Xenopus tropicalis: one gene and its partners. The protein of the gene in region 2 purifies or fractionates together with the protein of the main gene of each other region. This does not show direct contact. Links are inferred from orthologs where the notes say so. Each region holds a gene or a part of one and is shown on either strand. Other genes may lie near its edges.

Region 1 (7,993 bases), on a different chromosome or scaffold from region 2:
ATTCCCTTTTCTCTGTAATAATAGAACAGTACCTGTACTTGATCCCAACTAAGATATAATTACCCCTTATTGGGGCAGAACAGCCCTATTGGGTTTATTTAATGGTTAAATGATTCCCTTTTCTCTGTAATAATAAAACAGTACCTGTACTTGATCCCAACTAAGATATAATTACCCCTTATTGGGGCAGAACAGTCCTATTGGGTTTATTTAATGGTTAAATGATTCCCTTTTCTCTGTAATAATAAAACAGTACCTGTACTTGATCCCAACTAAGATATAATTACCCCTTATTGGGGCAGAACAGCCCTATTGGGTTTATTTAATGGTTAAATGATTCCCTTTTCTCTGTAATAATAAAACAGTACCTGTACTTGATCCCAACTAAGATATAATTACCCCTTATTGGGGGCAGAACAGCCCTATTGGGTTTATTTAATGGTTAAATGATTCCCTTTTCTCTGTAATAATAAAACAGTACCTGTACTTGATCCCAACTAAGATATAATTACCCCTTATTGGGGCAGAACAGCCCTATTGGGTTTATTTAATGGTTAAATGATTCCCTTTTCTCTGTAATAATAAAACAGTACCTGTACTTGATCCCAACTAAGATATAATTACCCCTTATTGGGGGCAGAACAGTCCTATTGGGTTTATTTAATGGTTAAATGATTCCCTTTTCTCTGTAATAATAAAACAGTACCTGTACTTGATCCCAACTAAGATATAATTACCCCTTATTGGGGCAGAACAGCCCTATTGGGTTTATTTAATGGTTAAATGATTCCCTTTTCTCTGTAATAATAAAACAGTACCTGTACTTGATCCCAACTAAGATATAATTACCCCTTATTGGGGCAGAACAGCCCTATTGGGTTTATTTAATGGTTAAATGATTCCCTTTTCTCTGTAATAATAAAACAGTACCTGTACTTGATCCCAACTAAGATATAATTACCCCTTATTGGGGCAGAACAGCCCTATTGGGTTTATTTAATGGTTAAATGATTCCCTTTTCTCTGTAATAATAAAACAGTACCTGTACTTGATCCCAACTAAGATATAATTACCCCTTATTGGGGCAGAACAGTCCTATTGGGTTTATTTAATGGTTAAATGATTCCCTTTTCTCTGTAATAATAAAACAGTACCTGTACTTGATCCCAACTAAGATATAATTACCCCTTATTGGGGCAGAACAGCCCTATTGGGTTTATTTAATGGTTAAATGATTCCCTTTTCTCTGTAATAATAAAACAGTACCTGTACTTGATCCCAACTAAGATATAATTACCCCTTATTGGGGGCAGAACAGCCCTATTGGGTTTATTTAATGGTTAAATGATTCCATTTTCTCTGTAATAACAAAACAGTACCTGTACTTGATCCCAACTAAGATATAATTACCCCTTATTGGGGGCAGAACAGCCCTATTGGGTTTATTTAATGGTTAAATGATTCCCTTTTCTCTGTAATAACAAAACAGTACCTGTACTTGATCCCAACTAAGATATAATTACCCCTTATTGGGGCAGAACAGCCCTATTGGGTTTATTTAATGGTTAAATTATTCCCTTTTCTCTGTAATAATAAAACAGTACCTGTACTTGATCCCAACTAACAAGGTAAAACAATCCTATTGGGTTGATTTAATGTTAAACTGATATTTAGTAGACGTAAGGAATGGAGATCCATATTGCACAAAGATCCCTGTCTGGAAAGGCCCAGGCCCCATATCTGTATTAAGTTACCATTAGCCAGAAAAGAAAAGGTCTATCAATACAATACTAAACATTAATTTAAAAATGAACTTCCCCTTTAAAAGAGAAAAACCCAGGCACAGCTAAAATCATCCCCCGCATTCCAAATGATACACACAAAGATGCAGCCTGACCTATTTAAGCCATTATGTAGCAAAAGAAAGAAACCATTTTGACTGCTCCATTTCGTGGGACTGTCAGGTTGTGAGTCAGAGCCTCTCTCCCCCAATCTGCAGTCACAATGATGATTTAACCCTTTAAGTGCCAGCAACATTTTACATGTTTCTGGAACATTTTGTTTTTCCTCACTTTAGAGGCATTTCCTTGGGGGGGGGAGCTTTAGTTTCTCTAGGAAAATTAGTTGGGATCAAGTACAGGTACTGTTTTATTATTACAGAGAAAAGGGAATCATTTAACCATTAAATAAACCCAATAGGGCTGTTCTGCCCCAATAAGGGGTAATTATATCTTAGTTGGGATCAAGTACAGGTACTGTTTTATTATTACAGAGAAAAGGGAATCATTTAACCATGAAATAAACCCAATAGGGCTGTTCTGCCCCCAATAAGGGGTAATTATATCTTAGTTGGGATCAAGTACAGGTACTGTTTTATTATTACAGAGAAAAGGGAATCATTTAACCATTAAATAAACCCAATAGGGCTGTTCTGCCCCCAATAAGGGGTAATTATATCTTAGTTGGGATCAAGTACAGGTACTGTTTTATTATTACAGAGAAAAGGGAATCATTTAACCATTAAATAAACCCAATAGGGCTGTTCTGCCCCAATAAGGGGTAATTATATCTTAGTTGGGATCAAGTACAGGTACTGTTTTATTATTACAGAGAAAAGGGAATCATTTAACCATTAAATAAACCCAATAGGGCTGTTCTGCCCCCAATAAGGGGTAATTATATCTTAGTTGGGATCAAGTACAGGTACTGTTTTATTATTACAGAGAAAAGGGAATCATTTAACCATGAAATAAACCCAATAGGGCTGTTCTGCCCCCAATAAGGGGTAATTATATCTTAGTTGGGATCAAGTACAAGTTACTGTTTTATTATTATTATTATTGAGAAAAAGGAAATCACTTTGTTATTTGCCTAAAATAGACTCTATGGGTGATGATCTTACAATAACCTGGAAATTCCTAGATAATGGGCTTCCAGATAAGGGATCTCCCATATATTTTATTTGGTGCCTACAAATGTAAATCCAGTCAGTAGCATCCATGTTAGCCTGATTTCAACAGTAGTTTACAGCCAAAAGCCAAGACCACCAGAAAACGAATTTTAAATTACATTTTAGCACCTTGTTGATCTGTGATTTAAAATGCTATTTCCTCACAACAGTTACCTCTATTTCCCTGATTAGTGGGAGCAGATACTGTACAGGCAGAGGGGACACTCTTAGGGCTTTTTAAGCATATTGTGTAAAAAACAAGAATGTGCCAATGCATTTTACGCTTCTAAATATAGAAGGAATGTGCTAAGAAAAGTGTTTTGGGCTGATTTCATAAAAACATTTCCAAAAACCATGTGTTTCACTTCCTGCTGGCTCCTTTCCCAGGCTGTTCAGGGAAGCTGGCAGCACTTGCACTGTAGCTTAGGAACAATCAGCAACTAGGTGGGTCTGATAGGGAACAGGAGCTCCCTATCCTGGATTTTGTTAGGAGTGTCAGTGACACTACACATGCTCAGTGTGCTCTGGGCATATTGAGCTCTGATGCTAACTGCATTGGTTTTAGAGCTGCCATGTAATCTGTATTATTTACTACACTATCTCACTTATATTGTAAAATGTATATTCTATATATACAGTCTATTGTGAGTGGTTCCCTAAGATCAGTTACTGACGGCAGCCCAGGGCATGTGCTGGGAATAAGTGTGAAAGAAGATGGGGGGCAACTGGGGCATCTTCAGATCTTCACTGCTATAGGGCTGTGGTTGCCCTGGGCTTATACAGAAACCCAAAACACAATGTACAACATTTCTGCCCTACGTTTTTAGTTAAGCTTTAGTTCTCCTTTAAGAATGTGCATGGTGCAAGAGCCAGAGTCTATTTATATGTGATGAACTAAAACTCTCAACCTTCTGCAGTCAGTGTAGCGCTGGTGTAATATATATATATATATATATATATATATATATATATATATATATATATATATATATATATATATATATATATATATATATATATATATATATATATATAATGCCGCATATAAGGGTGAAGACACACGGAGCTGCTAGTTGCAGATACTTGTCATGGCTACAGAAACAGACAATATTGATCATTTACTGATAATTGTCTCTACGTGTATTTTAGCAGAGGCAATTCTCAGTATTGTCTATGGCAGGGGATTTTCTGGCGTTTAGTAACCGTGACAAGTAGCTGCTACTAAGTAGCTCTGTGTGTCTTTACCCTAACACTGCTAGCAGAGCCTATCAGCAAAGCTGAACTAAGAGGTCACCAAAGACAAAAACCTGCCCGCACCTCCGAGCTTGGAGTTCACCATGACGTAGAGATGCTCCTCAGGATAGGCGGCCGTGTCCCTGGAGATTGCATGTAGACTGATTGAAGGATATTCTAATGAAAAACCAAGGCCGGAACCATTCAGCCATGATAGGCGACTGAAAGAGAAACAGAAAATCTCACTAAATTTGTTTTTAGGGAACCAGAAAAAATAATGGTTTAAAATTAGGTGTATTATGCTTGCTGCTCCCATCCCTCAGTCTAACAGTTTCCTCTAATAATAATTTTAATGGCTGGTCAGGAATGAGATATTACTACTGGTAGCCTTTCACTAGTGCTAGCTATATATATATATATATATATATATATATATATATATATATATATATATATTATATATATATATATATATATAGCAAGAAAAAAGAGCTGCACTCACCAGGACTTGGCAAAAATATAGTAAGTTTATTTAAGCAAAGAGATCCAACGTTTCGAGCACTAACTGTGCTCTTCCTCAGGGAGAAAGAGCACAGTTAGTGCTCGAAACGTTGGATCTCTTTGCTTAAATAAACTTACTATATTTTTGCCAAGTCCTGGTGAGTGCAGCTCTTTTTTCTTGCTATATATATATATATATATATAATATATATATATATATATATATATATATATATATATATATATATATATATATATATATATATATATATATATATATATATATATATATATATATATATATATATATATATATAAGTGAATGAATGTCGGCACTCACAGGATTCTCACAAGGATGTATCACAGACAATATGGTTGAATGCAACTAGGTGAGGTTTATTGTCCTACGTTTCGGTTCTTTACTGGAACCTTCGTCAGGTTCGAAGGTTCCAGTAAAGAACCGAAACGTAGGACAATAAACCTCACCTAGTTGCATTCAACCATATTGTCTGTGATACATCCTTGTGAGAATCCTGTGAGTGCCGACATTCATTCACTTATCTACATTTTGCGGCTCTGGCACCCAGGTATTGTACCTAAAGTTTGGTGTGCTCCCCACTCTGCAATCTGTGTATATATATATATATATATATATATATATATATATATATATATATATATATGGGATGCACCAAAACCAGGATTTGACCTTTTTCAGCAGGATTTGGATACGGCCGAACCAAATTCGAATCCTCTTTAAACCTTTCTTATCTTAATTTGTATAATAATAATTTGTATAATTACTACATTATCCTAATTTTAACATTTCCTTATCCTAATTTGCAAAATAGTGTATTTGGTGAATCCCTAATTATATATAAAAAAATGAGCCCCTGCACTGACTGACAATCAGAGACTAAAGTAACTGGCAATGTAGGGGGTGATCCTGTTAACTCTATCTGTGCCATATAATAAGGGTCACAGTGGTCTTGACCAATCCGGCAGCTTATCTGCCCATGTATGTGGCCCCCCACCCACCCCACCAATCCAATAAAGGACTGTGTTCATCTCATTGATGTGGTCCTCACTCCAACGGCTCTTATCCCTGTCATTGTAACCAAATGATCCAATTAGCCCAATATTGCCCACTGTAGGTTACCATATCAGGAGAAAAATTCTCTTATTTAAAACCTCACCAAACGAGCCAATCTTATAGAGCCGCCTTTAGGGCTCTGGCACACGGGGAGACTAATCTCCCCGAGTTGCCATCCCACCGGCGAAAATGTAAGTCGCCGGTGGGATGGCACACGCTGCGCAGGCGATTTCGCCAAATCGGCGAAGTTGCCTCACAAAGGCATTTTCGGCGATTTGGCGAAATCGCGCCGCCGCATGTGCCATCCCACCGGCGACTTACATTTTCGCCGGTGGGATGGCAACTCGGGGAGATTAGTCTCCCCGTGTGCCAGAGCCCTAAAGGCAGCTCTATAAGACTGGCTCGTTTGGTGAGGTTTTAAACAAGAGAATTTGTCGCGGGCGACTAATCTCCCTGTGTGCCAGAGCCCTTAAGGTGAAGACACACAGAGCTACTTAGTAGCAGCTACTTTTTCAAGGCTACTAAACTCCAAAAAATCCCCTGCCATAGACAATAGTGAGAATTGCCTCTGATAAAACACATGTAAAGACAATTATCAGTAAATGATCAGCATTGTCTGTTTTAGTAGCCATGACAAGTAGCTGCTACTAGTAGCTTCATGTGTCTTCACCCTTAGGGTGAAGACACACAGAGCTACTAGTAGCAGCTACTTGTTGTGGCTACAGAAATAGACAATGCTGATCATTTACTGATAATTGTCTCTATATGTGTTTTAGCTGAGGCAATTCTCAGTATTGTCTATGGCAGGGGATTTTCTGGCATTTAGTAGCCACGACAAGTAGCTGCTACTAGCAGCTCCATGTGTCTTCACCCTTAGGTTTGCTTCCAGCAAGGGAACCATCTACAAAGAATATATATGTCCTGTACATGTCTGTGTGGGTTACCCCCCAAGTGCTACGGTTCACCCCCCAACATAAAGGCAGAATAACTGGTTCCTGCTAAAACTGGACCTAGTGTATGTTACAGAGACTATAGACTACAAACTCCCCTGGTGCAGGAATGATGTATAATCTCCATTCAGCGCTGCAAAATATGCCAGCCCAACATATAGGGTAACACTGTACTGACTATACCATACGCTGGTTACTGTGCATATATATATATATATATATATATATATATATATATATATATATATATATATATATATAATACAGTCAGTACTATACACAATATGTGTAGGAATGTGTGTTAAGGTGCCCATACACGTTAAGATCCGCTCGCTTGGCGAGGTCACCAAACAAGCGGATCTTCTCCTTCACCTACGGGTGGGGGATATCGGGGGAATTCAAGCTAATTCGATCGAGTTAGAACGCCGGTAATAGGTGCAGTCGGTTCGGGGACCCTACACTACCGATAAGCTGCCGAATAGGTCTAAGGGACCAACCTCGGCAGCTACAATCGGCCCGTGTATAGCCAGCTTTAGCCTATGGCCAGCAGGTTATACAGGTAACAAATACGCTACACAATCACTCAATATATAGTGAATAAAGCAGCCCCTATTGTAACATATAGGGATATTTTAAGTCCCCGAGGAGTTCCTTATAATATATAGTGAATAAAGTGCCCCCTATTGTAACATATAGGGATATTATAAGTCACAGAGGAGTTCCTTATAATATATAGTGAATAAAGTGCCCCCTATTGTAACATATAGGGATATTATACGCCCCCGAGGAGTTCCTTATAATATATAGTGAATAAAGTGCCCCCTATTGTAACATATAGGGATATTATAAGTCCCCGAGGAGTTCCTTATAATATATAGTGAATAAAGTGCCCCCTATTGTAACATATAGGGATATTATAAGCCCCCGAGGAGTTCCTTATAATATATAGTGAATAAAGTACCCCTATTGTAACATATAGGGATATTATAAGCCCCCAAGGAGTTCCTTATAATATATAGTGAATAAAGTGCCCCCTATTGTAACATATAGGGATATTATACGCCCCCGAGGAGTTCCTTATAATATATAGTGAATAAAGTGCCCCCTATTGTAACATATAGGGATATTATAAGTCCCCGAGGAGTTCCTTATAATATATAGTGAATAAAGTGCCCCCTATTGTAACATATAGGGATATTATAAGCCCCCGAGGAGTTCCTTATAATATATAGTGAATAAAGTACCCCTATTGTAACATATAGGGAT
Region 2 (8,569 bases):
TTTCCTCTAGACATAGCAGAGGGCATCCTTAAAGGAATGAATGTGCATTTTTTATGGGATGTTGGGATTAGAATACTGGAGTGGTATTAGGAAGGCAGCCTGGTGGCACAATGGTAATATTGCTGCTTTGCAGAGCTGGGGCCCTGTGTTCAGTCCCAGCCAGGGCATTATTGGCAAGAAGTTTGTATTGACTCCTGTTTCCTCTAAAAGGGACAGGGCCAAGGCTGCCATCCGAAATCATTTTCTATTGGAGATCCATGCAAGTGTTACATTTAAAGTAACAGAAAGCCCAAAAATAAAAGTGTGTTAAAGTAACTAAATTATAATGTACTGTTGCCCTGGACTGGGCTGTGTTTGCTTTAGAAATACTACTATAGCTTATATAAATGTGCTGCTGTTTAGCCATAGGGGCAACCATGCTGGAAAAAGGAGAAAAGGCTCAGCTTATGCAGCAGATAACAGATAAACTCTGTGGAATACAATGGCATTCTACAGAGATCTGCTATGTAACCTGTGCCATATAGCCCTATTTCAACTAGAATGGCTGCTGCGGTGGCTACATAGCAGTGTACTTATATAAATTCTAGTTGCCTATGGTATATTTAAAAACACAAAGATTTACAAGTGCATGGTGACAGTACATTTTATTTTAAGTACTTGAAAATACTTTAAATTTTTTTGGTGTTACTATGCCTTTAAGGGCCATATAGCACCAATTTGAAAATTTGCTTTCTGCTAGTTGCAATATCAGATGAATTTAAAATTTGCACAAAAGAAGTAAAAAGAAATAATGAATGTGCAGGTGTGCTTATAGTTTTGGGTATGTATAAGCATGGCGGACATGCTATTTCTGTTTGCAGAACAAATATGGCCTGATAAATGTGCCTGACCCTGAGGGACTACACTTGTTGCACTGATGGCAGTTCTGTGCCTTAGAAAGTCATTCATTGCAGCTATGTCACAGCTAGAGCACAGATCTGTATCCGTGACCCACAGCATCAGTTGGGACTCAATGAAGTGCTGTTGCATTATATAACGTTTAGAAGTCAGTAGAAAGCAGAGTTGGAAACATACAATATCTGACTGATAAAAGATTCAAACAGTTTTGTGTGTATTGAGATTGATTCCATATTATTTTGTTTCACAATAACATTTCTTCTTCCTGTTTCATTTGACTTTTATCTGATATCTTTTATTCTGGAATACCCAAGTAGAAGGATCACAAATTCCCTCAGCATTTAAAAGGCTTTTTCAAACTCTGATGGATAACATCAGAGTAAGTAGGTGGGGTGAGGGTTATCAATTGCTCTGCCTTTTCAGATTTTAAGTTGCCACCAGAGAAACTGCTGATTTGCTGCCTCCAACCCCATATTTATTATGTACTTGTGGGTAGATTTCGATGCAGAATTGTGGGGTAGAAGTCACTGCATTGGCATCTTTTCCAGTGGCCAACAAGCAGCTCCTTCTCGTCTAATGCCATAGTCAAGGATCACTTAGACTACCTGTGACTATTTGCAAGTAGCAGGCAAGACAACTTGGTTGATTCTTCAACTAGAAATAGTTTTTATTTTATTTAATGATTGGGAGCTCACTCTGTCTCCATCTGTTTAGGATCACTGTGCTGAAATAGCTTTGTAAATATGGGGTAAGGGGGCTGTAGTGAGGGGTGGATCACAGTAGGGCAACAAAAACTGTAACCCCACAGGGGCCCTCAGTTTTCTTGTCACATACATCAGCAGATTTTTCACTAAACATCTGTAACACAATGGTACTCTCAGTGGGTGCTCCACTCCAAATTGTAGCGTGCTGCTTTTTAGTGTGACGGCAGGCAGTAGATACAGCTACCGGATTAACATTGTTCTCACTGCTCACTGCTGTTTCAGTTGGGTTCACCACAGTTCGAAGCAGAACAGATTTTAAAATAAGGGGTGAGCTGCACCCTTTTATTTATGAAAATATTGTGAGATGAGCATGAAGAGAATAAATGTGCCAGGTTAGGAAACGCTGGAAAGTCATGTTGGCCATGAATCAAGTTGTGCATGTGGCTTGCAGGCTTACCTTTAGAGAACCATTCTGCTGGGGGACAAATAAAAATTGTGCAAAAATACACTTTTTTGGCAGTGTAACCAGACAAGCAAATGTTGTAGTATATAGTCTCTCTTGTACATTTAAATCCCCAGTGCAATTCACGTGGGTGGCTCTGATCTCTAGTTTGAGCAAATAGTAACCCAGTGTAAGCTGTTTCACACACATAGCAAATAAATTATGGTTATAACCAGATGATTTTCAGTATGCTAATAGTCAGCACCACAGAACAACCCCCCTAGGTTCCATCTGTCCATGCACCCAGTATATTTCTTTATCATCCACACAATCCTGCACAGCAGAGTGTATGTATATGAACTATGTTGCCGCATTCTGAGGTCACATCACCTGGCACTAGAGTAGACCTTGCTGGAATTAGGGACGGGTGGATAGAGCTTCTAGCAAAGATTAACTAGCACTCTAATCACAGATATGACAGCCTGTGCTGAGCAGGAGACATTGTTGAGCTGTTGCTTTTTGAGTATTGATGACTAATAGAAGATCATAGGGCAAAGTTAAACCTATGTCAGCAGAACCAAAGCACTGGCACAAATGACCATAAATGGCTCTCGTAATTATGGATATTATTACCAGGGGTTGTTTTTAACCCCATTAACATTTTGTTTCCTGTTCTTAAAGCAGACTGTTATCTGGGGTTGGGAATGCTGTCGATTTGAGTGCAAAATGATTTCTGTGTAGCATAGCCTGATCTGCAAGATAGTCTCATTTACAAAAACAGTTGTGGAAGGATGTCAAAGATGCCAATTTCTAAATGAAGCTTTCTCCAGAGTACACATATCTTGGACCTGTTTGTCATTCTCTTTTATTTATGCCAAACATCAGCTTGAATTTATGGAGTTTAATGAGGGTGGTTTTTGAGCTAGTGACCAGGACAAAGTCATTGTTTTTTCTTGGGATGTGAAAATGTTAAAAACGTGTATTTTTTTATTGGTATGTGTAGGCTTTGATTTGTAGAAGCTGCAGTTTGGAATGGAAAGGAGTGAAGTCCCAGTAAAACAGATTGCCTTGTCAGCCTTGCAAAAGGATGCCAGCATCAGTTCAGATTTCAATGTCTGCTTTTATTTAACAGAATGTGCTAAGATCTGTACATGCAAACAGATGTTAGGTTTTACCCTCCTTGTACTCCAACTGCTTTTTTGCAAACATTCATTATGCATTTTATTCTGTTACATATAAGGTTGCATTTTGTATATTAATGTACATTCTGGTAAAGTGGTTTTATTTGCTTTTTCTCAGCTTTTGGTGCAGTGTCATAACTAGGGTCATGTGAGCCCTGAGTAAAAATTTGCAACAGCCCCGCCAACAATATTTTTATGAAGAGGCAGATTTTTTCCACAATGCCACTAATATCACTGGGTCCACAATAGTTATGCCACTGGTTGCCACTTATTTCCACATCTCATAATACCCTCAGATTCTTCATCCAATGCCCTCTATTTACCCATGTCCAAGTTATTGCAGTTTTCTTAGCCTTCTAATTATAAAGACATTTTATGTGCCCATGGGCCCCTTTGTTGATTTTGTGCCCTGGTGCAATCACATTATTGGACTGAAATCTGAGAAGCTAGTTACCACAACCCCGTTACACCCTTGCCAAGCCCAGATACTGTTCCCAACCACACAGTTATACCCTTTGCCCCCCTGCACCTATTTTCCATTCAAATGAAGGAGAATAACCCAGTGTAGAGTAGGCATGTCCAGCAGGAATTGCTTGGAGTGCTAAGTGATATAACTTTTTCATGTCACTTTTTAGAAATAATATTTCTGTCACAGGTTTAAAATTCACCAACACTCATCATTGTCAATTGGCTCCCTGTTCAATATATGTTATTTTATTTTAACCTATTCCCCTTAGTTACTTCTCTTTTTTTACAGAAGATCGTGTGCTATATTGCCTAATAAACCACAGGATACAAGGACAGCAAAAAAAAAAAAAAAAAGATATCTCTAGTCAGCATATGCAGTGTCACGTTTACTATTAGCACAGATTTGATTGTGAAATAAGTCTGTGAATCTTGGCAATAGTACGTGGAAAATCCATCCATTTTACTTCTCTTTCCTGAAACGTATTCATTTACATTGAAGAAATTCTAACTTTGCCTTTCATTTTTTACATGTATCCTGATATCGGATTATGGACTTCATGAACATCTGTGTGGACACCATACTTGCTGTGGGGGTTACACTGCTGTTGGTGAGTAACTGAGGTTTCACAATAATCTTTGCATAGTGTTGCATGCACTGATAAGGTCTGATTACATTATGTTTTTATTGTTTATTTTACATTTGAGACTATAGCTTAGGAAGGATACCTTTCTCTACACAAGTTTCTAATTATCTGTTCCTTTGCACCTAATAAGGCTGGGTCAATGCACAGGTTAATCAGAATGATTCTGTTGCATTTGAGGTGGGAAGTTTAGCAAATTATGATTTTGTAGTCCTATGGCTATAAGTGATAGATTATCTGCTGATGAATTGCAGTCTTCTTCCTCTAGTGTCTTGTAAGAATAAGTCATGCATTTAAGTAATACTTAGAAACAGTAGCTTCTATATTGTTCTTACCTGTGTCGAAGAAAACATAATAAGCAGGTTAAAAGGTTGTAATAGAGAAAATAGCCTGTACACTGTAATTGCTCGTTGTCACTTTCAGTCATTAGGTTTTGGTCCTATCTTTAGTTATTTTTTATAGACGTGGAGGAAAGTGGATCTGCTTTTATGCGCACACCCTGTAGCTTCATTAACAGACCCATTGTTGCCCTCTGTGGAGCTTTAGGAAGGGCATATTGGCAAGAGAACAGGAATGTATGCATTTTCACATCAATATCCTCTATGTGGTCTCTTCCCCACAGCACAGGCCTATCTCTGAATTCAAGCCTCAGATACTTCTAAAATCTTTGTGTTAAAGTCAGTTGTTTGTTAATGCAAGGTGGAGGGGTGGTGAGAAGCTCTTACTGAAAGAACTGTTTACATCCTTACTATAATATACCACACCCCAAAGCATAAAGGGAAGAGTGATGGCTTCAGCACTGGTATCATAAGAGGAAGGAGCATAACTATAGGGCAGTGTTCCCCAACCAGTGGCTCCTGAGCAACATATTGCGCTCCAACCCCTCTTATATTGCTCTCCGTGACCTCAAGGTAGGTGCCAGTCCACATCGGGGCTACCAAATAGCCATTTGTAGCTCTTACTGGCCCCCCAAGGAACCTTTTTTATGCTTGTGTTGCTCTCCAACATTTTTTCCTGTTTAAATGTGGCTCACTGGTATAAATGGTCAGGGACCAGGGGCACTGCTATAGGGGTTGCCACCGCAGGAGTGCTATATAATACAGATATATAGATCAGTGATGAGCAACAAGTGATTGTGGGTGCTATGAGTGGTCAGTTACAGCTCACAAATGCTAGGTGACCCACCAGGAATAATATACTGGAATGGGGTGCCCTGAAGAGAATCAGTGTCAGATAGGCATTCCAGAGGCACACAAGAAGACCTTATACCACAAGCCTATTGTCCTCTCTTCAATTATTTCCATTTTACAAGCAATCATCTATTCTTCCCTCTATATCTGTACCCAGGGCCGTTGCTGGCCAAATGGGTGCCCTAAGCAGAAATTTACTTTTGTGCCCCCTCCCCCAAATATTACGGAAGTAAAAATAAAATACACAGAGCCCCCAATTGCCCCCATAGACAATGCCCCCATAGTAAGTGCCCCCAATAGCCCCCATAGATTGATTGAACTATCCGGGACAGCGGGATGCGCTATAAAAACCGGGGGGACAGTGTTGGGGGGTATGTTATAATATATAAAAATGTTTTTTTTTGGAGCAGCTGGGATGGTGCCCCCCTGGGAGTTGGTGCCCTATGCAGACTAAGTACTCTGCTTATAGGGAGCGGCGGCCCTGTCTGTACCCTTTCTTTCAAGCAGAAATGGGCAATAGCCATGGTATAGGCCGGCATACCAGGAGCCACTGGGAGTTTTCTTTGTACCCTTGTGTTGCTGTCTGATACTGATTAAAAGGTTTTGCCAAGATAAATTGGGTAGCCAGGTACCACATCTGAGTCACTTGAAATTGTACATGTTGCCCATTACTGGTAGAAGTCATGCAAGAGTCATAGGTAGGAAGTAGGAAGGGGCCATAATATCTGGAGATTAGACAAGTTTGGTTGTGCTAAGATTATGTGTGTGTGCTTATGAAATATGTGTATATGTATATATGGCAAGTTCCATAATGGTGCGCACCATTTACTTAGTACAGTGCCCTGGTGCCAAAGTCCATGCATATGTATAACCTAAGAGCAACAACAGATAGCACACAAGGGATTTGTAAAGCAAAAAAAATGCAAAAATGTATTGATTCAACATTTTGGCCTCCACAGGGCCCTTCATTGGGGGTATATTAGTGCAATGCAGCCCCTAATGCATTTTGGCAGTTATTTCATTTAATTTATCTTGTACGTCAAGTGAAATATGTGTTGCCATACTTTGGTATGTCTGTTATGTGCAACAGATATACAATATATTACATGCATGATAGAGAAATATGATGCTTTTCCTGTAAATGTAATTTTGCTGTACTTTATAGTAATGTTTTAAGCAGTGATACTGTGGCTGCTTCTTTCATACACTTTCATTTCATAGCAAGTTCTGTTCTACACTGACTGTGGAGGCTTAAGGGCCGTGGCAGACGGGGAGATTAGTCGCTCGCGACAAATCTCCCTTCTCGCGGGTGACTAATCTCCCGGAAATGGCATTTTACCGGCGAGAATGTAAATCGCCAGTGGGATGGCATACGCGGCGCCGCAATTGCCGAAGTTGCCTGTCGAGGTTGTATGTTTCTTTTATTTGATTATACTGGGCTGTTTTAGTGCAGACAAAAGCCGTAAACAAAGCATGGCATATAAGCTTGGTCACGTTACGGTAAAAAAAAAAAATTCTAAATATTACTGGGACTTATTGGATGCCTTTTACTATATATATGGGCCAGTGTTGTACTGACATTGAAAAAAAACAGTTACATCATGTTTGCTACCCCTAAGTTTAAAAGGGCAATATTTATTCTACATATCTACATCTACAACAGCATTAATCAATGTGAAATTTTGCTTTTATGAGCCACAGTAAGACACTTGGTAGAGAAAGCTGTGAATTAAGAAAAGCCATCCTATTAAAGAGCTCATACTACAGGCTGGGACTTGAGTCACATGTATTTTGTATAGTAACCATTAAAGGTTTTATCAGGACTATTACCTCCATGTTTTTGGCTATTAATGTTACCTAAACTCAGTGGGAACCATTTAACATCTACTGGGGATGGATGCTTGTCTCTACAGTAGTTGTTGCTTTGGCTGGGTCAACACATATGGGTTCACATATGAGCAACACAGAACCAGAAAGCAGATAAATTTGACTTTGGTCATTTGAATTGAGTTAGGGTTACTAAAAAGGTAAGACATTAAGGGGTCTCCTGGGTGAGTGCCCATCATTTCATGCCTGCCTTTCTAATTATTACCTAAGAATGTGATCAGAGATACAGACCTATTGGCTCCCATCTGCTTCAGAATGAGTGTGGAATACTCAATGGCATCACTCAGTCTTTTAGCTCGGCTTCTGCAAACCTTTTAGCATTATGTGTATTTTTATGCTTACTTTAATCACATCTCTGAACGTGTGATCTAGCCGGTGTTTACACCAATTAGAGGTCCTGAAAATGTATGAAAATTCCGTACTGCATAGATTTGCCTTATGTGCTTAATGGAAAAGTTAGGATGGAATTTAATTGGGTTAGCATGCTACTATAAGCTTTTAAAAACTTTGTTTTGACAGAACTATTTCTCCTTTGGAGTTTGTTTTAAAACTGTTACTATACTAAATCATATAGTTGTGTTAAATAAATTAGGGACAAAAGTCAGTTTATTTGCAGTGGCATCACTTCAGTGCAAATCTACCTTGGTACCATCATTATTGCTGATGATAATTTCAATTATCCAGTCAGCACCATTGCAAGCCACAAGTCTGACACCGGATGACACCAATGTGCTGGAAGTGGCACCTGCAAGCATCCTGTAAATGAGCCCACATTGTAACCTGTTCTGTGCCATGTGCTGACAATTTCACTGTATAATCACGTTTTTTTGCTAGCAATGCTTTATAAGTGCCTATAAACTATAATTTTTATTCCATACATGGATTGCATATTGGGTTTTGTAGCATAATTGTGCTTTCAGCTTAATATTGTTGCTTAATGGGGTTTTCTGCCACGGTGAAAGGTTAAAATCTTGTACTGTTCAAAGGTTGTAGTAATAATCAGCAAGACTTAGCTGGCGGCAGCGGAAATTTGTTTAGCAAGGATTTTTTCCCTAGGCTGTAAACAACTTTATTGCCCACTGTTCATTTTATGTGGTAAAAGCTTTGCTGGCTACAGGGTTTTGCAGATCGAACAAGGGTTAAGTCTGCGGCTGTGATG
Region 3 (7,129 bases), on a different chromosome or scaffold from region 2:
AACAGATGGGTGGGATTGGTAGGGGTTTTTTGTGAAATTTTCAGTACATCTGCCTGAAACACTACTCTCAAGTATATTTAGAGAAGTATAATGCGCTGGCACATTCTTGTTTTTTATACAATATATCTCCTTTAATCCAAGAGTGGGGTTGCTTTAATGTTGTCCTACGTGTCAAAGGTACTTACTCCTATTTTGTTTCTAAATTGTAGCCAGCGTTGCAGTCCTCAGTTGTTGCTACCTCCAAAGAACGTACACGCCGAGATCTTATACAAGATCAGAACATGGATGAGAAAGGCAAACAAAGGTAGAAAAAATTTACTTTTGCACCCCCCCCCCCTTTTTTTCTTTTTTGTCAAAACAGTTGACTTAAAATCGAAGTTGGAGGTTTAAGTCTTGCATATAATTTTATTTTCTTCTTAATTACAGGAATCGGCGAATATTTGGCCTGTTGATGGGTACTCTTCAGAAGTTTAAGCAAGAGTCAAATGTGGCAACAGAGCAGGTAATGTATGCTTGGTAATTTGTAATTTTTTGTCTGTGCCAATATAACATGTCATGCAAATATTTGTTTTGCACGTCTTCAGCCAAAGTGACTAATTTACTTACAATTTCTCCTATCCAAACTGCAGCAAAAAAGGCGCCACGAAATAGAACAAAAGCTTGAAGTGCAGGCTGAAGAAGAAAAGAAACAAGTGGAGACTGAGAGACGTGAGCTCTTTGAGGAAAGGCGGACTAAACAGACAGAGCTACGCCTTCTGGAACAGAAGGTTGAGCTTGCCCACTTGGTAAGTTACACACTAACTACATTTTAAAAAATTGGTTTATATGTTGTTCTAATAGTTAGTGGCTGCTTTGAAAAGGGACCATTTCTACTTCTGATTCATTTTAAACTATGTACAAATGTTCATAATAAGCATGCAGCAAATCAGAATAGCAAACTGAATATGAGATCTAATTGTGGACTCCGGGTTAAGCATAGTCAAAAATTGCTTTAATTACCCAGACTTATTGAGATGAATAAAACTGATATGGGTAATCCTGAAATTTTCATTTGTAATTTCAAATTATGTCCAGCTTTCTGGTGCTTAAAGCAAAATCTGAATTATGTATTTGTTTGGAAGTACTCAGTGCACCTGTCCTGATTTAGATGCGCCATGGTGAATTTTGTGTGGGTGAATGCAAAGCGTTCTACTACATTACTGTAATCTATGCACACTTAGATGCAAAAAAAAAAAAAAGAACTTTTATTAGAATACACACAAGTACAAAACACCTTCAAGAAGCTGCAAGATTTGTCTAATAGAAAAATCTCCACTTGTAATATAGGGGTTACAATCAATCTGTAATCTTTGTAAACCATATAGGGCAGATATGAGAGATACTGAATAATCCTAGGCTGTACCCTGGTTCTCTTGGCCTACAGACTGCAGCTGTCAGACAAAATAGCATTCTAATCAAAAGTATTATCATATCTGTATCATGTGATGCGAGTATGATGATGGCACTGTAAAGTGCACACTAGGGGTTTTGTCTATTTATAGGGTTTGTACCAGCAGGACAAATTGCTGCATCTTAATAGTAATGATGAAATCCAATTCTTTATCGGATCTGCAAAGTTTATTTATTTTTGCATTCAATTTCGCCTATCCAAGGGTCTTTTTGGTCTTCCACATGGCTATTTTCTTTTGAGCAGTTGTCTGTGTGATAGACATGGATGCAAGCAGACAGCTTCTCACAAGTAAAGGTTATATCATTCCCCTGTAAAAGTGACAGGCAAGATCAAACTGGCCTAAAAAAAAATGTTTCCGTTCGATTCTCACAGAGCAACTGATGGCCACGGACTGACTAACTTTTGTAGTGTGACGACACACAGAGCTACTAGTACTGTGTTTCCCCGAAAATAAGAACTACCCAAAAAATAAGCCCTAGCAGGATTTCTATGCATTTGTTAAATATAAGCCCTACACCGATAATAAGACCTAGTGATGGGCGTGGCTCCGCGCTATGCATTTCGGCATGAAGCGATAAGGAAGACTGGAATACCTTTTATCTGCCCTAGCTCCTTTCTCCTAGCTGTTCGCACGTGTGGTAACCGCAGACGCAGGCAATCCTATTACACATGCGCAAACGGCTAGGGGAAAGGAGTTCATGCATCACTAGCGCCAGCCCCACCAACAAGGTCTGCTCTCCCTGTCATGTCCAGGCCATACTGTCTCCTTGTGTGTCCCCAGGGGGAAGAAGGAAAGCTGAGGCTGCTATTTTACCCAGCAACAGTCTGTGGGCCTCTCTCACCCCCCCCCCCCCCCCCACTGGCAAATGTGGGTAAATAGCATGGGCAAGAGTAAAAAAAAAAAAAAGAATTTTAAATGAAAGTGTACTGAACAACAGTTTTTATTTGAGGAAACTGAATTGAATTTTTCAGTTTCTAATGTTTAAGACAAACTATTTTTTTAAGGGGGGCAGGATACTCCTTACCTCTTGTATTGGTTATTGGTTCTTATGTATTTATTCTTTTATGTTGAAATAATGTATACATACATTTATCATACAATGTTGTGGAACATTGTCACTTTGTAACATAGTAAGTTAGGTCGAAAAAAAGACATATGTCCATCAAGTTCAAACATAATGCCTATATAAACTGCCTAACTGCTACTTGATCCAGAGGAAGGCAAAAAACCCCATCTGAAGCCTTTTACTTGCCACAGAGGGGAAAAAATTCCTTCCGGACTCCAAGATGGCAATCGGACCAGTCCCTGGATCAACTTGTACTAAAAGCTATAGCCCATAACCCTGTATTCCCTCACTTGCTAATAAGCCATCCAGCCCCTTCTTAAAGCTATATAATGTATCAGCCAGTATGACTGGTTCAGGGAGGGAATTCCACAACTTCACAGCTTAAACGGAACCTCCTTTCTTCTAAATGGAATGAGTGCCCTTGTTTCGGTTGGAAGGACCTACTGGTAAATAAATCATTTGAGATGTTATAATATGATCCCCTTATATATTTATACATAGTTATCATATCACCTCTTAAGCGCATCTTCACCAGTGTAAACAGACCCAACTTGGCCAGTCTTTCTTCATATCTGAGACTTTCCATACCCTTTACCAACTTAGTTGCCTTTCTTTGGACCCTCTCTAATTGAATAATGTCCCGTTTGAGCACTGGAGACCCAAACTGAACAGCATATTCTAGATGGGGCCTTACCAGCGCTCTGTAAAGGGGAAGAATAACCCCCTCCTCCCGTGAATCTATACCCCTTTAATACAGCTCAATACCCTGTTTGCCCTTGCCCCTGCTGCCTGGCATTGCTTGCTACAGCCAAGTTTATTATCTACAAGGACTCCAAGGTCCTTCTCCATTATGGATTTGCCTAGTGCAGTCCCATTAAGGGTATAAGTGGCTGCATATTTTTAAATCCCAGGTGCATGACCTTACATTTATCCACATTAAATCTCATCTGCCACTTAGCTACCCAGATTGGCAGTTTGTCAATATCCTGCTGCAAGGATGTCACATCCTGGATAGAATTGACTGGTCTGCAGAGTTTTGTGTCATCTGCAAACACTGATACATTACTCATAATACCCTCCCCTAAGTCATTTATGAACAAGTTAAACAAAATGGACCCAGTACAGGACCCCACTGGTAACCTTACTCCAAGTTGAGACTGTACCATTAACAACCACCCTCTGTACCCAATCGTGTAGCCAGTTTCCTACGCACGTGCAAACGACTTCACTAATACCAATAGACCTTAGTACAGAAAGCTGTCATTTGTGGGGAACAGTATCAAATGCTTTGGCAAAATCCAAATTATCACATATACTGCACCCCGACTGTCCAGCTTCTTACAAACCTCATCATAAAAAGCAATTAAATTGGTCTGACATGAACTGTCATGTTAATAATTTAATGGCTTGTTTTCTGTTACAGCAAGAAGAGTGGAATGATCACAACAAAAAAATTATAAAATATATAAGAACCAAAACAAAGCCGCATCTGTTCTACATACCTGGCAGGATGTGTCCACCGAGCCAAAAGTTATTTGACGAGTCTCAGAAAAAACTGAATGGTAAGTATGTTTGGCTGTTAGGAACACAAACTAGTATTAAGTAACATTATAGAGTTGATTGCACACAAGAATGTTATTGCTGCGATTAATGGCAGAACTTGTTTGAATTGTGCAGGGACTTTAAAACAAATTAAGAAAGAAAGTTAAGAAGAAAACAGCAAAACATCTTTTACATTGCAGGAGTCTTTGCCAGTCTGATAAAATCAAAGGATATGTCCCCAATGCAATAATGCCTAACTAGTGTATTCTTATAAAATTTAAACTGTATAGAAGTCATGTTGTCTCTAGTCTAAAGGTAAATGGGGCATTAGCCGTAAAGAACTGCGTTGCAAGTGTGCACTGTCAGGCATTAATGTCAGTATGACAGCTTTTTGGGTAGCTACCCAATGAAAGCACCTGAGAAGCAACCCATAATCACAACCTCTGCTTATCTGCTTTGCCACTGTGCAGTAGATATCTCAATAGCCAGTGACTAAAGTAAGGCAATTCTAGGTGTGCTTGTAAGAGGTGCCTTAAAGTATGAATTGTGAAAAACAATTCTATAGGTATAGTTTCATAGTCCAGGAAAGTAGGAGTTGTAAAATTACATTATGCCAAGTCTTGTTTTTACTTCTAAGCTGCTAATGACCATTGTACTTTTTCACATAGCCTAATTTACTCTGTAAGTAAGGTATTTTTTGTAACATTATAAAAATGTTTAAATATTCTATTTTTCATTTCTTTTTCTAAACCACCCTTTTTCCTTTAGCAATATTTGAAAGCAGGCGGCTTGAGTTTGCTGAGCAGTTAAACAAAATGGAAGCTAGGCCTAGGCGTCAGTCCATGAAAGACAGAGACCAAGAGAAGAAGCCAGAGGAACAGAATGAAGAACATACGGAGGATCAAGAAGATGGTAAGGTGTCTCGGCATGATAGAGAGGTTGAGACAGGTAACCAGCCAAATGATGTAGATATGGAGGACACTCTAGAGGAAGATAAAGAGGTTAGCATTAGCGTGATGGATGTAGAAATGGCACATGATGCTAGAGGAGTCGAAGATATAGAAGATTCTAAGCAGATGGAGGAAAAGATAGAAGAGGAGGGTAGAGTTGAGGTAGAAGAATCCCAGAATAGTCAGTGGGAGGAAAGGGAAGTAGAGATTGTTGAAGAGGAAGTCAAGGAAGAAGAAACCAAGGATGAAATAAAAGAGGATATTAGTGAGGATCCGCAAACATTTGAGGTAAACCAGTCAGAGGTATTAGACTTGTTAGAGAATGTAAAGGACGGTGAAGATCAGAGTGAGGTTCAGACAGAAAATAATTTTACGCTTGAAGCTGAGACAGAAGCTACAAAAGAACCTGAACCTGAGAGGGAGGCTGACTCCCCAGAGAGACCACAGAAGGAGCTGGAGTTAATGTTCCCACCACCGGCCAGTTATGAGTCAAGGACTCAGCCTGAACACCACTTTAATGTGGATGAAGAGCATTTTGCTGAAAAAGAACAGATAGTGGCAGTGACTGTGCCTGTGGCTGAGACACAAGTAGAATATGCCCCAAAACCAGCCTCAGTCCATAAAGCTAAAAGAAGTAGGAGCAGGGGAAGAACTAAAAACAAAATGGGTAAAAGCAAGAGTAGTAGTAGCAGTAGTTCAAGCAGTAGTTCTAGCTCTAGTAGCAGTGGGAGCAGCTCTAGTAGTAGCAGTAGCCGAAGCAGTTCAAGCAGCAGTAGCAGCAGTGGGAGTAGCAGCCGAGACAGCAGTAGTAGCAGTAGCAGCAGCAGTAGTGAAAGTCGAAGTCGCAGCAGAGGTCGTGGGCATGCCAGAGATGACAAACGCAGGAGGAGTGTGGAGCACAAGAGGAGAGATGGAGCAGGTGTAGAGAGAAGTCACAAGTCTTCAAAAGGCAGTGGCAGAGACTCCAAGGGATCCAAGGACAAAAGTTCAAGGTCTGACAGGAAGAGGACCACTTCAGAAGGTAGTCGGTCAGGAAAGCGACCCTCAAGAAGTGAGAGAGACCGTAAATCAGACAGGAAGGACAAAAGACGTTGACAGATCCAACATGTGCTTACATATTTTAAGTCATCCCCTGGGAAGATATGGTGCTGCCTTAGCAATTGCATGATAACCATTTTGGGAAGCACAGACTTTTATTTTTCTTTTACTTTTTTTTTGCATAATTTTGTAATAGGTTGATGTCAGTTCTGATCAATTTAAATAAAACAAAGAAAAGTAAAGAATTTTACCAATTTTTGCCTCCTTCTGTTTATCCACTTATACAACAACCGTATTTTTACTAACACTTTGAAAAGGCAGGCAGTTTGTTATGAATGGGCTGGCTTCGTTTGAGGCAAAGGCTTTTCAAATACACAATTTGCCAGTCCATTGTAGGAAAAGATATATTTGAGAATAGATGCAGATTCTCAGCAAGTAGGACAATTATAATGTGCTCTGCTTTGATTGCAAATTTGTTTTTTGTTTTTTTTTTTTTAAGGATTTTGTAGGAATGGCACTTTTTTTTACACTTGAAGCTTTTGCATGCATACAACTCCCAGTATCCCTCCAAATGCTAGAAGATGGTAGAGTACTGCTACATTTGGCCAAAAGTTGCCTGTCTCAGAGGTGATGCAGAGTTCTTGTTCTGATATTTGAGCCCTGAGTATATGTGCACGCCACAGATCCGAAAATGCAATATTGAGCAGTATAATAAGTATTTTATTGCTGATGTGAACTAGCAGCTTTTAAGGAAACTGTTAAATACAACTTTGTAACTTTTTTGTTTTTGTAATTCATTAATAGTGAATAGTTATGTATAAGTTTGTGTGTATAGCATTTTTATATTGTGTGGACTTCTTTGAATCTGTTAATTTCCTGCAGTGTCTGGCACTTGGCTAGACCTTCATGCCTAGTGGATACAAGTACAGTCAAAAGTCTGCCTACCTGCCACTTGAAAAACTCCATAATTTATATAACGGCATATTTCTAAATGGTCTTTATATGACAGTCTATCATGTTTTATACTCTAATTTCTCTGCCTATATGGATATATCTGCAGGAGCTACCAATTTGTTTTGTTG

The links.
Region 1: the proteins of epb41l3 (region 2) and clns1a purify together in Homo sapiens (affinity purification with mass spectrometry; 3 studies listed by BioGRID and IntAct, with this or other methods). This does not show direct contact. The link is inferred for Xenopus tropicalis from reciprocal best matches to the Homo sapiens genes EPB41L3 and CLNS1A.
Region 3: the proteins of epb41l3 (region 2) and pnn purify together in Homo sapiens (co-immunoprecipitation; 3 studies listed by BioGRID and IntAct, with this or other methods). This does not show direct contact. The link is inferred for Xenopus tropicalis from reciprocal best matches to the Homo sapiens genes EPB41L3 and PNN.

Annotation. Positions count from the first base shown.
Region 1 is NC_030678.2:168,849,063-168,857,055, forward strand, and holds part of clns1a (methylosome subunit pICln), read right to left. Parts: intron 4,405-7,993; coding exon 4,268-4,404; coding exon of another isoform or gene 4,262-4,267; intron 1-4,261. UniProt on the Homo sapiens protein: Involved in both the assembly of spliceosomal snRNPs and the methylation of Sm proteins.
Region 2 is NC_030682.2:106,251,686-106,260,254, forward strand, and holds the start of epb41l3 (band 4.1-like protein 3), read left to right. Parts: upstream 1-4,172; 5' UTR 4,173-4,300; intron 4,301-8,569. UniProt on the Homo sapiens protein: Tumor suppressor that inhibits cell proliferation and promotes apoptosis. Modulates the activity of protein arginine N-methyltransferases, including PRMT3 and PRMT5.
Region 3 is NC_030684.2:104,722,531-104,729,659, reverse strand, and holds the end of pnn (pinin), read left to right. Parts: intron 1-209; coding exon 210-304; intron 305-426; coding exon 427-502; intron 503-629; coding exon 630-785; intron 786-3,940; coding exon 3,941-4,079; intron 4,080-4,827; coding exon 4,828-6,104; 3' UTR 6,105-6,289; downstream 6,290-7,129. UniProt on the Homo sapiens protein: Transcriptional activator binding to the E-box 1 core sequence of the E-cadherin promoter gene; the core-binding sequence is 5'CAGGTG-3'. Capable of reversing CTBP1-mediated transcription repression.